Linked DNA regions of Bombyx mori. The protein of the gene in region 3 purifies or fractionates together with the protein of the main gene of each other region. This does not show direct contact. Links are inferred from orthologs where the notes say so. Each region holds a gene or a part of one and is shown on either strand. Other genes may lie near its edges.

The links.
Region 1: the proteins of cact (region 3) and cullin-1 purify together in Homo sapiens (affinity purification with western blotting; 8 studies listed by BioGRID and IntAct, with this or other methods). This does not show direct contact. The link is inferred for Bombyx mori from reciprocal best matches to the Homo sapiens genes NFKBIA and CUL1.
Region 2: the proteins of cact (region 3) and RpS3 purify together in Homo sapiens (affinity purification with western blotting; 4 studies listed by BioGRID and IntAct, with this or other methods). This does not show direct contact. The link is inferred for Bombyx mori from reciprocal best matches to the Homo sapiens genes NFKBIA and RPS3.

Annotation. Positions count from the first base shown.
Region 1 is NC_085108.1:4,460,578-4,464,647, forward strand, and holds the start of cullin-1, read right to left. Parts: upstream 2,801-4,070; 5' UTR 2,465-2,800; intron 2,374-2,464; exon of another isoform or gene 2,167-2,373; intron 1-2,166. UniProt on the Homo sapiens protein: Core component of multiple cullin-RING-based SCF (SKP1-CUL1-F-box protein) E3 ubiquitin-protein ligase complexes, which mediate the ubiquitination of proteins involved in cell cycle progression, signal transduction and transcription.
Region 2 is NC_085120.1:12,499,979-12,504,007, reverse strand, and holds the start of RpS3 (ribosomal protein S3), read left to right. Parts: upstream 1-1,229; 5' UTR 1,230-1,253; coding exon 1,254-1,286; intron 1,287-1,592; coding exon 1,593-1,896; intron 1,897-2,751; coding exon 2,752-2,972; intron 2,973-4,029. UniProt on the Homo sapiens protein: Component of the small ribosomal subunit. The ribosome is a large ribonucleoprotein complex responsible for the synthesis of proteins in the cell. Has endonuclease activity and plays a role in repair of damaged DNA.
Region 3 is NC_085118.1:17,163,357-17,172,031, forward strand, and holds the start of cact (cactus), read left to right. Parts: upstream 1-3,201; 5' UTR 3,202-3,353; coding exon 3,354-3,628; intron 3,629-6,058; coding exon 6,059-6,384; intron 6,385-8,675. Other genes in the region: DNA replication complex GINS protein PSF1, read right to left, coding at 1-3. UniProt on the Homo sapiens protein: Inhibits the activity of dimeric NF-kappa-B/REL complexes by trapping REL (RELA/p65 and NFKB1/p50) dimers in the cytoplasm by masking their nuclear localization signals.

The DNA.
Region 1 (4,070 bases), on a different chromosome or scaffold from region 3:
ATACTGCCTGTACATTATGGTGCACTTGCAGAAGCCAAACATCTTCATTAAGTCTTCAAATATGATTTTTAGGCGCTAGTGAATAATATCGACACTTGAAAGGCAAACATGACTAACCGACAATAACTACTTTGTACATAAATGATAAGCAATAACCATATTCGATGTGAAAAAAAAAAATATTTCTAGGTCTATTAAAATTATTTCAATCCTACAGCTACTAGCTAGATTCTACTACAGCTAGATTCGTTAAAATAAATTTTGTTTTCAGGTATTTCAACTTTAAATTAGTCTACTGTAAAATTCACGCATTTTCAAACGTCGATATGTATATGTTTACACATTTCTGAGACCTCAGCATTTGAGGCAAATGTAATAAAATGAAGCAGTATATACATGTAGCAGTAGCTATCATAGAATAGAAGTACTATGGTTACAACTTGATTAATATGAACTACACAACCAAGATAAGCTAAGATTCGCAATAGCTATACTAAGCAAAAAACCTGCCTCACACTACAAAACATTTTTTCTCAGGTAGTCAATTAGCTTAGATGAACAAGTATGCAATACAACCGTCACTAAATTTCTCCCTTTCAATAGTTCACTCAATACTGAGCATCAAAATCTGTCAGTCACACAGTGAAGTGCATCGCTCAGTCTTATGTCCAGATGCTTAGACACTAACTAGTTTACTAACCATCACTATTCCTAAGCAATTTTGATAAAAAAACAATAAGATTTGAAATTGATGAACAAAAGAAAGTTAAGAACAATACAATGTCAACTTAATTTATGCAATTGTGTATGTTTTTTTTATTGCCCTTGTAGGCATACGGTCTCCTAATGGTGAGTGGTTACCGTCGCCCATGGACTTCAGCAATGCCAGGGGCAGAGCCAAGCCGCTGCCTACCGTACGGGTTCAATATCACGATACCCAGTTTCAAATAGACATAGTTGAGAGTTCATCCGCAAGGCAGACTCAGTAAATTTGTCTTTATATACATTTATTTTATTTTATTCCTGTGCAATTATTATTTTGAAGAGAATAGCAAACAGAGCACATTACATGCACGTGTACATTATTTCGTTCATTGTTTTTTGTGTTGTGCAATTATTTTCGTGAAAAGAACTTATCATTTCAATTTCCTAATACTCATATGAATTTCGACATGTAAATACAGCACCAACTGAATTGTAATATTCGTTTACTTGAGACTGCCTAAAAACTTTTCTTTGTATTGTATTTTTTTTAAACATCATTATTATTAATCTTTATCCTTATCATTGCCTAGAGAACAACAATGCCACAAGCATTGTGAATTGCCTTTAAATTACTTTTGAAAAATATATGCCATAGCTCTGAAGTAATAATGATCTTTAGGAACAACTGTAGAAACTCCCAAATTACTACTTGGGATGTCCTCACAAGTTCATGAAGTATATTCTTACAAAGAGATGAATTTGCTTAGCTTGATTTAGTCAATCAATATAGTTGGTAACTTACATTTAAGGCAAGAGATTTGATACATTTAGGGCATTTAGCCTTGGAAATAGCCACTTTGCACTCCATTTCCTGTATTTATTGTGCAAAATCAGAACTCTACTTATATTTTTTTACTTTGAGCACAACCATTATTAACTTACATCACTGAATCCCTATAATTTCATATGTAACACATATTACATACATAGTATTTATTGGTACCTCTAATTTCGTATGTAATATATTTTACAAAGTATTTATGTAAATCTTATAACAAGACCTAGTTATTTTCTCGATATTGCCACTAACAAAAAGCAGGTGGTAACAGATTTAAAAGAAAAAGTGTAGATAAGCATAGGAAGACATAACAGACATACGTTTTGTTGTGTATTGTGCTCATTGAACGATAACTGTTTGTTCAACTAGAAAACTGTGTCTTATTAGCATAAACAAAAAAAAAAAACAAATTACCGTTTTCCTTAACTGCGCATAACGATGTGCGAGATTAACATGGAGTTTATGAATTTAATAATAAGTAAATGCAATTAAAGGCTAAAAACGATACGAAAAGTAAAAGTGTTGTTGGATCTGACAAAGGAATCGAGATTTTGCAACACAAACAAGGGCAACCGAGAACGTGTTTTTTTAATAATCTCTCAAGCTTTTGAATTACAACATACCTGCTTAGTCTTCCCGTTAAACCTAATGGCACTATATTTTACATTAAAAGCACTAAATGAGCTATTTCAAACACGTTTAATCATTATATTGCGACTGGTTTCTGCCTGACAATTTCAGGTAGGTAGGTAAGTACCTACCTACATCTGTATTCTGTAATTTGGACTACCTACCTGACAATTCACTGACAGTCACAGCGTGACATGACAGATATGAAATAACGCTACCGTAAAGCGTCCGAATTTTTTTAGTTTTGATATGTTTTAAAATGGGTATGTAAATTGATCGGATTATACTTACGTAGCACCCGTTTTCACGCTGTCATCGACCACATTACACTTTTTTATGTACTTGATGCGATACGATTGAGCTTGTTTTATTATACCACGATTTACAATCACGATTCATCAAATTTTATTCAATTCGGCAATACGTACACATGTAGGCCTTGTTATTTTGGACCATTTCATCCTCACTTCAAATAAAAAGAAACAACAGTGAAAAGAGAGAACAAAACTGAAGCAGTGCTGCCGGTAAATAAATTAGACAAATCCCAAACCCTTATTGATTTTATAGGATTTTTTATTATTATGCCATAAAACTTTATTTTCATATACCCATAATATTACATGTCAGCCTTCTTTAACGATGTTTGAATTTATTTGAAAAAAACAATTTGATAGACTTCAATTTCCTTGTAAATCAGCAAGACTGGTTGCGTTCAGTTTGGTGTTCTCCAAAGATTGCTTTTGCATTAAACTGCCTAGTAACCAAGTAATATCAATCAATCACTAATATAGTTAATGATTTTTTTTAAACAAGGATATGATAGATATAAATAGCAATCGCAAAACCTTCCGATCGTCATCGTTGTCCATAAAAGTCCCACATTACCTTAAATCAGACGAAAAGTATCCGCACTGGCAACTCTTAAAACCGTGTTCATTTTCACTCTACTGTGACGCTAGGTGGCGTTACTTTTTTGAGTATTGATGCGTTCAAATTCACTCAGAGGGGATTTAGTGAATTCAGATTTATGCTACTCTGGACTCTGGAACACAAGTAGATTAAACATAAATAGAAATGAATTAATTAGGGCAGAAACGTAACATTTGTATGTATGCCAATAAAAATATTGAATATACTATTTTAATTGTTAAATAGACCATGTTTTCTATCAATTAACAACAATAAAAATCATGTTAATGGACTACCTATGCAGACTAAAGTGCAGGAATCTCCAGCTTTTTAAATAAATCTGTGTACTGGTTTCAATGCCTAGGTACTGAAATGTTGATTTCTCAGGTAATTAAGCTTGTAAATTTTCTGCATGAGCAACTACGACAAATCAATAAAACTATTAACCTAAGAATATATCCCACAGAAATACTTGACCAAGCCAGGTCCTTCCCCACCGCAAAGCTTTTCATGTTGAAATTGTGATGAAAACATTTAATTTTGGTGAATGAACAATAATATTTTTACTCTAGATGAGCAGATTATCTGTAGACCACTCGTCGATTGATCCAATTGGTTATCAGATTAGCTAAGAGTATTACAGTCCCTGCTTAGTTTTGTTTTCTAACAAAAGTTAACAAAGGTTAAATGAATGGTCTCGAGAAGATATTTTTAAATGAAAAGGTTGTTATGACCCTTAATACTTCTAAAATTGTACTAGGATCTTCGAATTTTTCGAAGATCCTAGTACATACTGTTGAACTTAAGTTGATGGTTTTTACTTGTTTAGGAACCCAGTTAAAGTTCTCGTGTGTATGTAAATATTGTAGTCGTGTGATCTGCGTGCTTCTACTACAATATTTACTACAGAAAATAAATAATATTGCGCGAAACTCTTGTCAAATCTGCCAGAATTCCACGATTGTTTTTGCAAGGTCTAAACTGCAAA
Region 2 (4,029 bases), on a different chromosome or scaffold from region 3:
TTACTTGTTATGGGGCCTGGCGTAGAACCCCGGTAGAAGCTTTGGAAACATATTTTAAACCGGCCGGCCCGGGTACCGGATGGTGCCGTATGTCAGTCGGATCGTCCGACGTAATTTATTTGATAGTTTTATTACAGATTCACATTTAATTTGAATTTTCGGGTGCTGCCTTTAGTTAACATTAATTATTCACAAAATATAAATTTAACCAACGACAGCTGTTAGTTTATACTTGTATATACTTGTTGTTGTCACAGTCGACTCCACACGTCCTTACGGATCCATCGGGCAGCTGTTAGCAAATCCCGCGCCTCCGTGAAACTTGAAAGGTCTCGGAGCCACAAGTAATCCTGCAGTCCTAAAAAAAGATTTAGCATGAATTTTCCAACCGGCTGCCAGCCTGGCGTCAATCCTCCTTGGGCTATATATTATTATATATATTAAAATATCCATTTAACCATTGCAAAGTGCCTTAGATGCTGTAGGAACGGACTTTTACGGTTTCTTTTTTTGTTTTTCCTTTTACTTCATCCGTTTTTTGTTCTAATGATACTTATTCAATATTATATTATATTATAATTTTCCAATACCAAAAGTTTAAAATATCTATATATCACAACTCAAATAAAACAAATACTTACTTGTATATCATCGTTGTTTCTTCTATCAATAAATATGGAAATGTGGCAGTAGCCATCATAGAACACAAAATATTTGATAGATATCTGAATTTCGCTATTGACATTTTGAATACATGCTTGCATTTAAATTAAACAAGCACCAAACAACAACATTAGGACAGTTGGAAAACCAAGCAATTTCACCCAGTTGTAAGTTGTAACTATACTGAGAACTTATATCTCAAGGTGGGTGGCACACTTACGTTGTACATGTCTATGGCCTCCAGTAACCACTTACCACCAGGTGGGCTTTAAGCTCGTTCACCCAACTAAGGAATAAAAAAATAATAAAAAAAACATTGCAACTTCAATCCTGTTTAAAAAACATGTGAAGAGTATTTGCTGCGCTATTGTATAACAAATCGCCTATCTAGTGAAACTAAAGTTAACCTAGTTTGAAAATCAACCAATAAATCGACTAAACCCACATTGTTATTTCATTTTGCATGTTTTATAACAAATTGAGTGTAGACTTAAAAACGATTACAGTTGACAGTTGACATTACTTGACATTGACGTTCTTGTTGTCATCAGCCATCGCCGTCCCTCTTTTTCTCGGCTCCCGTTGCAATCATGGCCGTGAACAATATTTCAAAGAAGCGAAAAGTACGTTTTATTTAGTGTTATACGCTGCAAAATATTTAGTTAAATTTATTTTTAAATACTCAACTGATTTACCAGTTCAGAAAATTCGTTTATTTAGCAAGTGTAATTTGTGATGTTAGTGGATATTTTCAGTTGTGATCAGCGGTGAAATAGTTTTCATCATTTTTTACACTAACATAGTTTTCTTCAGTGATTTTGGAGCCTTCTACATCACAAACAAATATCTCGATTTCATACAATGAACGAAGATAATATTCAAAAGCAGGAGCGACGTGCTAAAAACATAACCTCTTGATGTTTTTTCAGTTTGTTGGAGATGGAGTTTTCAAGGCGGAACTCAATGAGTTCCTCACTAGGGAGCTGGCCGAGGACGGCTACTCCGGCGTGGAAGTCCGGGTCACTCCCATCCGCTCGGAGATCATTATTATGGCCACCAGGACACAAAGTGTGCTCGGAGAGAAAGGACGCAGAATCCGTGAGCTGACTTCCGTAGTACAGAAGCGATTCAACATTCCAGAGCAATCTGTAGAATTGTATGCTGAAAAGGTGGCTACTCGTGGTCTTTGCGCTATCGCCCAGGCCGAATCTCTAAGATACAAGCTTATCGGAGGTTAGTATGTCTACATGGTTAAACTTGCATGAAAAGCACAGAAAAATTCTTTAACACACCAATTAATAAAAATAACATGTGTGGCTTATTTACAGATACTAAACCAAACATTAAATATCTATGTGTATGTATGCCCCACACCTGACACTTCAATTCAGAATAAGTTGATGTGTTTTTCGTTGAGGCTATATTAACATCCTCATATCATAATTGCATCAGCCTATTGCTATATGCTTGCATGTTATGCTGGTAACATTTAAATCTGAAAATAATTGTATAAAATGCATACTCATTTTAGAATCATTTGAAACAATTCATTCATCTAATTGTGCATAAATAATCCTATAACTATGCTCATGACATACATGATTCACAAAAAAAAACTTTCCTATTCATTAATTTTAAATGTAAATTGTTATGATGTGTAATCAAAAAGTCTATACCCAGCCTCTGCACAAGACACACTACTAATGGCTATTGTGTATATTAATTTTATTAAAAAATCTCATAATTATAGAATTGTAATAAATTAGCCACAAAGTTTGTGGAAGTCGATTGGCAATGTGTTGTTACACACATATGGCATTTAAAAATTGCTACCTGTCTGAAGAATATTCAAACTAAAACACCTTCAAGTCACATTGCATGCAAAAACTGCTTAGAAGCACCGGATCCTAACGTACAATAATGTAAATTAATCTCAAATTCTTTAGTTTTTAGAAAGATTACTCTTTACTCCTTATGTATGTTTTCAAGAATAGTTTCAATAATTTGTATTTATCATTCATGTATTTATCGTTTATTTCGATGCTGTATTTATCTTTATAAAAATTGTAATATCTACTGTAATCTCAGGTCTCGCTGTACGTCGTGCTTGCTATGGTGTTCTCCGTTTCATCATGGAATCTGGCGCCCGTGGTTGTGAAGTTGTTGTATCTGGCAAGCTGCGTGGTCAACGTGCCAAATCAATGAAGTTTGTAGATGGACTCATGATCCACTCTGGAGACCCTTGCAATGACTACGTCAACACTGCTACCAGACATGTGCTTCTCAGGCAAGGAGTACTAGGAATCAAGGTGAGAAACAGCTTACTGTTAATAAATTAAAATTTTGATAAATTTTCAATTATACCCTGTAAGATTAACCTAATCTACCATTTGTATAAACTGCTACAAATAAATAGAGTGAAGCCTGGTATAAAACCAAAAGGGTTGAAAATAAAAGTATAAGGTGTGTGTCTGAGATAGTATTATAAACTTCACCAAAGTCACCAATGTATGTTATTATGGTATTTGTTACCGTAGGTATCACTATGGTATTTGTTGAATTTAACTACCTTCGTAATTAACGTAGGCTAGACTCAACTAGGCTAAATTAAAATAGTATAATTGAGTCGTCTATTATCAAAGGTGGCAATCTGTGCATTTGGACAAAAAAATATTTTGATATGTCAATACAGATTGATTTGAATATAATCGTCTCCTTCAAAGAATACGGTTCAAAACCTGCATTAAATAAAGGTTAATAGTTAACCTGTTATTTATCTAAGATGTCGTTCCGAAGAGTTTTGTGACTGCCAATGGAATACAAAGTCAATAATTCGTTTTTCTGATTTACCAATATTGTTCAAAAGTCAGATTGCCGGCTTTGATAATAGACGACTCAATTACTGTTTTATTCCTGTTTAAATATTCATTTACAAAATTACTTCATCATAATGAAATATTTCTTCACACTAACTTCACCACTAGATTTCACTATAAAGGGACATTTTAAGAAACTCCTTTCAAAGCATCCTAAAAAGTCTAATGCACTTGAATAGTAATAGTCAAGGGTTTTATCTTTGAACTCAGCCATAGAGTTTTGTAATAAATACATCTTCGAATCTCAAAAATCTATCCTAGTTTAGTCTTAAATTAATAATCCACGCAATCAGGGATTGCAAGCACTCTCAGTGGCTTTTGATCTAATTTGCAGTGGAAGAGTATTCTGGCTTGTTTATTGAAGGGTCTTTTATATATTGGCTCTGTTACGGTGCAAACCAAACAATTTTAATGTCCACAGCTCTCAAACACTCAAGAAAACACTATTCTGATTATTAAACGTACCACCATCATAAAAATAGCTATTTTA
Region 3 (8,675 bases):
CATTGTGTGTTACTTATTTACTTAACAATGAGAGAGATAACAAACAAAATACTTTAATAATTTAGATAAAAACATTTTTGGCATTGGCGCGAAAGTTGTTATTAATTTGATGAGTGACAGCTCAAGACTGTGACAGATAGTAAATTTGACATTTTATGATCGGATACGCATCATTTTTGGATGAGTTCGAAAATCACAGAAGCCTTGATCTTTAAATCTATAATACCAAAACCTAATCTTAAGATATTAAAATTTTCTAGAAGTGGGAGCTAAGTCATACAAGTAACTTTTTACAGATAATCACTTAGTAGCAATACAGCCAATAATAATCTCACTCTCCTTATCGGGTCGACCATCAGATCCAATTACTCTTGCAAAGACGCTTTCAACTTTAACATTAGGAGCAGACTTAGGGACCCTGATAACCGTACTCGTCGAACTCAACAAAGTGTTCGACGTGCAAACTAACCTCCCGGTGCCACCTCTGGGACATGATGATTTCATCATTCCCGCTGAATTGCGCCTCCTTATCAAGCGGATAAAGAGGCGCAAGGCATTGTGTGAGGACGGTATTCTCACCCTTGCATTTTTCCACTTTCTAGAATCAGTCGTGTCTTTTAAGACACGGCTGTTTAATTACATTCTGTCTACAGGATATTTCCCGGGAATTTAGAAGGACAGAAGACAGCCCTCCAATTATCGTCCGATTACCCTGTTGTCGTATGTGGGCAAGTTGTTCGAGCGGCTGCTGGTGAGAAGAGTGTCTCCGCACATCCTTCTCAGACCCGAGCAATTCTGGATACGTAGCAGTCACTCAACAACGCTGCAATTGGTCTGCGTTATGCACCTTTTGACGGTCCAACGCACGCCAGTACATGGCGGCAGTATTTCTCGATTTCGAGAAGGCCTTCAACCGTGTCTGGCGTGCGGGGCTTATCTGCAAGTTGGTGCAGAACACGGACTTCCAGCACGCCTACGTGCGACTACTGGGGTCGTACCTGGAGGGCAGAACTCTTTTTGTCGCGGTCAAGAGCGCTAAATCGTGGATGCGCCCAGCCACAGCTGGGGTTCCCCAAGGAGGTATCCTGTCACCGATCCTCTACGCTCTCTACACCAACGACATTCCCAATGTCGTTACGTTGTGTTAACACACAGAAATAATAAGCAGTAACATATCTATGACGGCGTTAACGTTACTTCTGTTATACAGCACGTGCAATAGGAGTGAGTCATACACAAGCCAGGTGCGCCGGCCGTGTCACTCCACTCGTAAAACAGCACGTGCAACAGGAGTGACTCATAGATAAGCCAGGTGCCCCGGCCGACTGCGTTTGCTCGGTGCACTTACTATATCCTTGTTACATTGTGTGATTAAGTGACTGTTTTACGTACTGGTTAAGGTTGGATAAATGTTAAAGTGAATTAAGTTATCATATTGTTGATTAAATCAGGAATCAAAAAGTGACTTCGTTTTACTGGGTGTTCAACAAGATAATATCCCCCGCCCTAACCCCCCCCCCCCCTCCCCCTCCCACATAATACGCAATGGAATTGTTCAATGAGTAACGTATGTTCGTCTGCTTTTTGTGGCCACAATACCAAACAATTACAACTTCTAGTTTTGTTGATCCGAAGAGTCGATAATTGTAAAATGAAAGAATAAACACCAAATGGAAATTTTAAGTTCTTTCTATTGGGTCCACAGCTGTCTATAAAGTTTACTTATGGACGAGAGTTTTACGTGATAACGTCGTAAAGACTCCGTATGCTTTACCACCTGAAGTATTTCCTTCCGCCCGAGACCAAGACAATACTCGTTCAAACTTTGGTTTTCCCCTTGATCGACTATGGTGATGTGTGCTACTTTGACCTGAATGCATAATATCTACTCAATAAACTTAACCGGCTTCTCAATAACTGCATTCGATTTATTTATGATCTTCGGAAATACGATCACGTATCTTCTCATCGCTCCCAACTTAAATGGCTCCCCATTCGACAACGCCGTAGCTTGCGTGCTCTCGGTACTCTTTACTCTTTGTTGCATTCCCCAAATCCACCTGCTTATTTAACTACTTCCTTTCAATACTTAGGGTCTGACCACAGCCGAAATCTTCGTTCATCTCACAATGTTCTTCTTCGCTGTCCTCCATATAGTTCTGACTCGGTTCTCTAAGGTCGGCCACTACACGTGAAGCGTTTAAGATGAGGGTTCGAGAACTGTTTCTAGAGAGTTATCAGAGTCATCTAATTGATAATATTTATTTATATATATTTTATACATATATATTTATGTAAATGTATTTATTTAAGTACGAGTTTTTGTATCTATAAATATTATGTATGTTATATATACACATATGTTTAAGTAATATCACTATCACACTACACCTATCAAGGTTCATCTCTGCACCCCCCTAAGGTAGACTCTCAGAGAATTTTTCGGAGCATCTGGGTCTACGGAGGGACTTCGGTTCCCTCTGTATTTTGTACCGTATGTTCCATGGGGAGTGCTCTGAGGAATTGTTCGAGATGATACCGGCATCTCGTTTTTACCATCGCACCACCCGCCACCGGAGTAGAGTTCATACATACTACCTGGAGCCACTGCAGTCATCCACAGTGCGTTTCCAGAGGTCTTTTTTGCCACGTACCATCCGCCTATGGAATGAGCTTCCCTTCACGGTGTTTCCCGAGCGCTATGAGATGTCCTTCTTCAAACTAGGCTTGTGGAGAGTATTAAGCGGTAGGCAGCGGCTTGGCTCTGCCCCTGGCATTGCTGAAGTCCATGGGTGACGGTAACCACTCACCATCAGGTGGGCTGTGAGCTCGTCCATCCATCTAAGCAATAAAAAAAAAAAAAAAAAACGTGGATGTTTTAGTTTATTTTTATCGAAATCACAGTTTTGTTATATTGTTTTACTTCACGAACCAACAGATATTTTTTTACTAGTCAAGACACCTATTGTCACTGTCTATGTCTATGTTTACTTTGTTTTTGCTAAGGATATCTATCAACTCAAACAAAATATTTTAGATTAAATCATCACGCAGTGATGTAGATTGTAGACAATTTACATGACACAGTGTTTCCGAACATGTCTCTAGAAAGTGACGTAATGACGAATGCTAATAAAAACAAAAAATGGCAGCCTTATGTAGTCACAAATACTCCAGCATTGAATCTTAATCACGCATTGTGCACGCGCATTCGTTGTAGTGAGGCTGTTTATTACGCGACATTTTTGTGTCAAAACATGGTTCCGTGTTCATAAACAATTGTAATATAAACAATAGTGAAACGATAAGATTATTGTTAAAATTGAAAACGGTCGTATAGAATTGAACCAAAAATGAGTGCCAAAAAAGATTCCGAAACGAAATTGCGCGAGGACGAGTACGCTGATTCCGGTTTTGTTACTGGTGAAATATCAGGACCGTGTGATAGTAATGATATCGATTCAGGGATGATCGATTATGATGAAAAGAATAGTGAAGGTGAAAGTGGAGTGAAATCCATTACGGATAGGCTGTCACAAGTAATGGTTAGTGTTCAGAGTCCTGCACAGAGTACCGCAGACATTCCTCCGCTGTATCTACTGTTCCAACAGGACGAGGACGGAGACACGTATGTATAAATCATTATACTCCACGCACTCTTACAACAACAACAAAAATTCTTCATTTTGGCTTTTTGGGGTCTGTGCATGAAATTTTTCCCTATAATTTTAAACAACATTGTTAACTTGATTTGACACTACTACTATTATTAAATACTTTTTCGAGAAACACTCCTTGCTTACCTTTTAGTTTAATGATAGATTTTTAAATATATTTTGAGATTTATCAAATTACTTTTTTGTTGTTGTTAAAGTCAATTAATTACCTACGAAGGGCATATTTAAAAAAAAAACATTGTTAATGTGGAAATTTTATCAAATTATACTTGTGCAAGAACCTCAGCTCACCAAGAAAATTAATATGACAATCTTACCCAGCCAATACAGTTTGTAATAAGTCAACAGACCTAAACTACAATATGTATTCTTATTAAAACCATGATGAAACTTGAACTATAACAAAAGAAATTCCCTGTGTTCAGTGAAATAAATGAGAGAAATAGCAACTTTACGTTTAAGGTGCTTACTATATCCTTTCATTCGTCTATTTTAATAAATCTATTTTGAATTAACATGCAGTTAAATAAAACCAATTTTTATCATGTTTCTTTATTAAGCTTTAAACTTTTTGCTAAAGCGTTAATTCTCGTAGTTTAGCATTTTATAAAGCATATTAAAATATATTGATATAAAGTTGCTAGTTCAATTATATTTTAACAGGGTACAATAACATAAACTTCATTTAAAAAAATGTTTATCAGTACAGTAACAAAAATGAACTTAAAGCGTTGTAGCCTAATACGGTAATATGCACATGATATGTTGTAAATTCTGTAATGAATAAATTGCATGCACTGCCCGCCATTGCAGTAGCCTTTGTCCACTCTGTGTAGAACCACTGTGTTTATCCACAGTGCATTTCCGGAGATATTTTCTGGCATGTACCATCTGGCTTTGTAATTAACTCCTCTCTTTGATGTTTCTCAAATGCCTTATAATGTTGGAAGGTTGGTTGACAAGATTTATAGAAAATACTCAGGGGCAGGAAGCAATTTGGCTCTGCCCCTGGCATTACTGATGTGAATTAGCAATGGTAACCACTCACCATCAGGTGGGCCATATGCTTTGATATCTTTGTTTTCAGTGAAACTATAGACTAAATATACATAAACTAAATATTCACTACTATGTTTTAGTAAATATAGCAGTGAAAAAGACTTGATATTCTTCCAATATTTAAATTAACAAGGAAATCATTTATACATTTTACAACTTCCTTTGCGCGGATTTGTTTTTTTGAATAAAGACGATCAAAGTGAGCAAATTTAATTGCTTGAAAAACATATTGATTGGATTGATAATACAATTAGTAATCATGATCAAGTATATAATAATATACTTATGAGTGCAAATGTAACTGTTTCAGCCTTCTTTGAATATAAATAACTAGGGACTATTTTTAAATATTTGAATTAGAACTGATAATTATTTGTTTTTCTAAACTATCTAAAACTACCAAAATATTATTTGTTAAACTGTTCCCAGATGTGTTGACAATTCTAGCTCATGTTGTTTTAATTATCAATACATAACATTTTACACTGTTTTTATTTATTTGATATCCCTAAAATTATTTATTTAACTTCCTCACTCAGATCAATAACCTATGTAGCTATGTATAATAAAAGAACAAGCTATTGAATAGATTAGATAGTGATATGATTACATCACTAGATGCAACTAGTGATGTCCTCAAATGACCTCACTCACAACACCATCACTCATATAAATTCTGAGGATTACATGGGTACATCTAATGTGTTTGTTTATATCAGGTGGTTCCTGCATTGTATTCAGATAGAATGGACTGGTTCATGCACATACCAATGATAGAATCAACCAATCGACAATATCATCATCTGGTACTCGTTTTCACAATTCAAACTAATTACAAAACAAGTTAACATTTATAAAAACAAGTTTACTTCCTCAATAATTGTAAATTGTTTCGTTTTATTTAAATAGTATATTTTATAATACCTATTAATAAATGTCTATGATAAATTTATAAATTAAGGTTTATTTATTTAGCATACATACATACAATCTATGCAAGTACAACATCGATATAACACCAGTTGTATAATAAATGATTAATCATACATATGAAATATAAAAAAATATGTTTATTAGTAGAAGGTCTGAAAAATAAAATATAAAGTATTTAAATTTAAGAAGTACTTCCTGTCTATGAACTCATTTTTTCAGTACAGATATTCCCATAAATAGATTACTCAATGTCTAAAATGAAAACAGTCACTATAAAGTGTTACCAGTGCCTATTATGGCTATTACATATCAGTGAACTACTTATTACATTATAAGGAGTCTGTGCAGTTGATATGTTGAATGTGAAGAGTTGTTATTTTCCATTACAGACAACTACACATCGCCTCCGTACACGGCTGTGAAAAGTCAGTGGGTACCCTCATCAGGGTGTGCCCTGAGAAGTCGTGGCTGGACGTGCCCAACGATTATGGCCATACGCCACTGCATCTAGCGGTGATGAGTGGTAATGCCATCATCACTAGGATGTTGGTCATCGCCGGAGCTGACATCGGAGCGAGAGACTGCCTCGGAGAGACTCCGCTACACAAAGCGACTGCCGCCCGCCATATAGAATGCTTAAAAGCACTACTTGCCAAAGTTCCTGAGCATCAGAGCAGTAAAGTATTAACAGTACTGGAGCAGAAGAACTACAACGGTAAGTTGTTTATTTAAAAGAAATCATTCAAATATTTCCTTGTAGCCATTTGTGAGCGACTCGACTGATAACAAATTCAGTAACAGATTAGTGTAATGAGTGTTGATCAATTTATATACCTCGTGCTTTTATTCAGATTCTAGCTAAATTAATATTAACTATAAACCTAGCAAGTTTGCAGCGAGATAAATTATTGTCTCACTGAATCAGATGTAAAAACCCATACAAACTCGGAATTTCCACTTACGATTCGCTTTAAGCGTTCTTAAAGACTTGACCGTCGGCAACTACCGCATTTTTATTATTAAAATTTATTAAGTTAAAATTGCGTAATTTCACTAATATCGTGGTCTGTTATCGGTCGTTGAATTAAGACGCAGTATGAACGATAAAATGTAATGCCGAGATTAGCACGTCCGAATTTGAACTACGCATAGTACTGTACTTATCCTGTGGTAGGTTAAATGTTTGACCTCGGATAATTCAGGGAAGTAGTATTTATTGCCGGCGCCGGCGTCGCGGTCCATCCAGGCGTGAACTTACACCCTAATGACGTCACGTGTTCATTGCATTAGAAGCTACGTAGTCTACTAGCATACATTGTTGAATTGAACACTAGCAGCTCGTATCTGGAGCCAGTTTGTGGCACGACACAGACATACGGCGTTGTTTACGTCCGAAGTGCGAACCGTGTCTACTTGTGACGTCATTCAAGGTCTCCATTACGATCGAAGTCATTAAAAATCTATCGTAAATTCGGTTTGGAATACAGCGAAACGCAATTCATGAGCATCCATTCAAAATTTTAGAATGTCTCGTGGACTCGTCCTCATTTTAAATCGTGAACACGGAACGACCCGTGTAGAGCTGCATCAAAACATGATATTTCGAGTTTTTTTAATTAGCGGTTTTCCCTGATCATCTCTGGTCGGCTTCAAGTTTTGTGTAAAAGAATTTCGCACGACTTCTGGTCGTCGATCTGCATACGGTTTTACCCGACGCTTGACCTTGCCGAGACAGTCAAACACGTATTATAACATAATTTTCGGACTTAATAATTATACATCTATACTGCGAGCCGTTCGACAGAGGCCGCCTACGTGCGAGGCGGTGTGACCGCGGACTGGGTATTCCCAACGACCGTTCTCAAACTTGAGTGAAAGCATTATGCTTACATTGAACCGAATCTACCGCTCCAAACGTTCGCACGACTCTTTAGTCGGGATGCCCCACTGTCCACTGCGCTGCACATAGCTAATTATGAATTTGTTAAGCAGCCGGCATAGTAAACTGGGTTTTTCTAAACAACAATAAATACATAATGTTTACTTTTCATATCTGCGTTTTGTGTAAACGCAGCAATTCCCTTGCTTCTATCGCCGTCAAATCGCGCCTGAAGTCGCTTGCTTTCACTAAGTAGCTTACAAAGTGAACTTGTTGAAGGTAAACACAAGTCCATTCCGTTAAATGTATTCGCTGGGTTGATCGGTCTAAGGAAAACCGCAGAGGTACGGCTGCAGGCACCGTAATTTCCCATTATTCGAGCTGAACAATGAGTCGATGTGCTGATGGGTTATACCCGCGTGAAAGTGTGTCCAGGGGCCGTGCTGCCGCGTTACATACTCGCGGAAATCCCAAGCGTCGTCGTAATAATAGCGTTACGTCGCCGCCTCGCCACCCACGCTTTCTAATTTTAAAACGCTGTACTGAATCTCACTTAACAGACGCGCATATGTATATATAGGAGAATTCAAATCATACCAAATTAAACCCTTGCGTGCTGCTATGTTTGGTTAAAGAAATATTCGACGACCGACCGGATTTAGAGAATTTCCAAAAAAAACAGGTTCCGCTGATGATCGAAGTGCGAGAGGTTGTGAATACTGTTTTTTTTTTATTAAACCTCAAGTTTATTTATGATTCGAGTCACGAAAATGAAGTAGGTAAATGGCATAAGGTAATGGAATTCCCAAATTAGCGTATAAAACGCTTCGAAAAATGTACACGAGGAATGCCCTCGTGTTTAGATTGCGGTTTGCTTACATATTTTATTGAAATTACACGCAAAAACAGGTTTTAAGAATTGAATTAATTAGAAAATTGTACTTACATGTAACTTTCATGATATTCCCTTGTACGAATCTACGATAAAATATCTACAATAGTGGACTGCGTACATAACATCCTATCTATATTAGCGTATAGTTAAATCCTTTATTGCATACCAAGATAATAGTCGACTATAAAAACGGAGGCTTTGGAATAGTTGTTATCAAAACAAGAACGAAGAT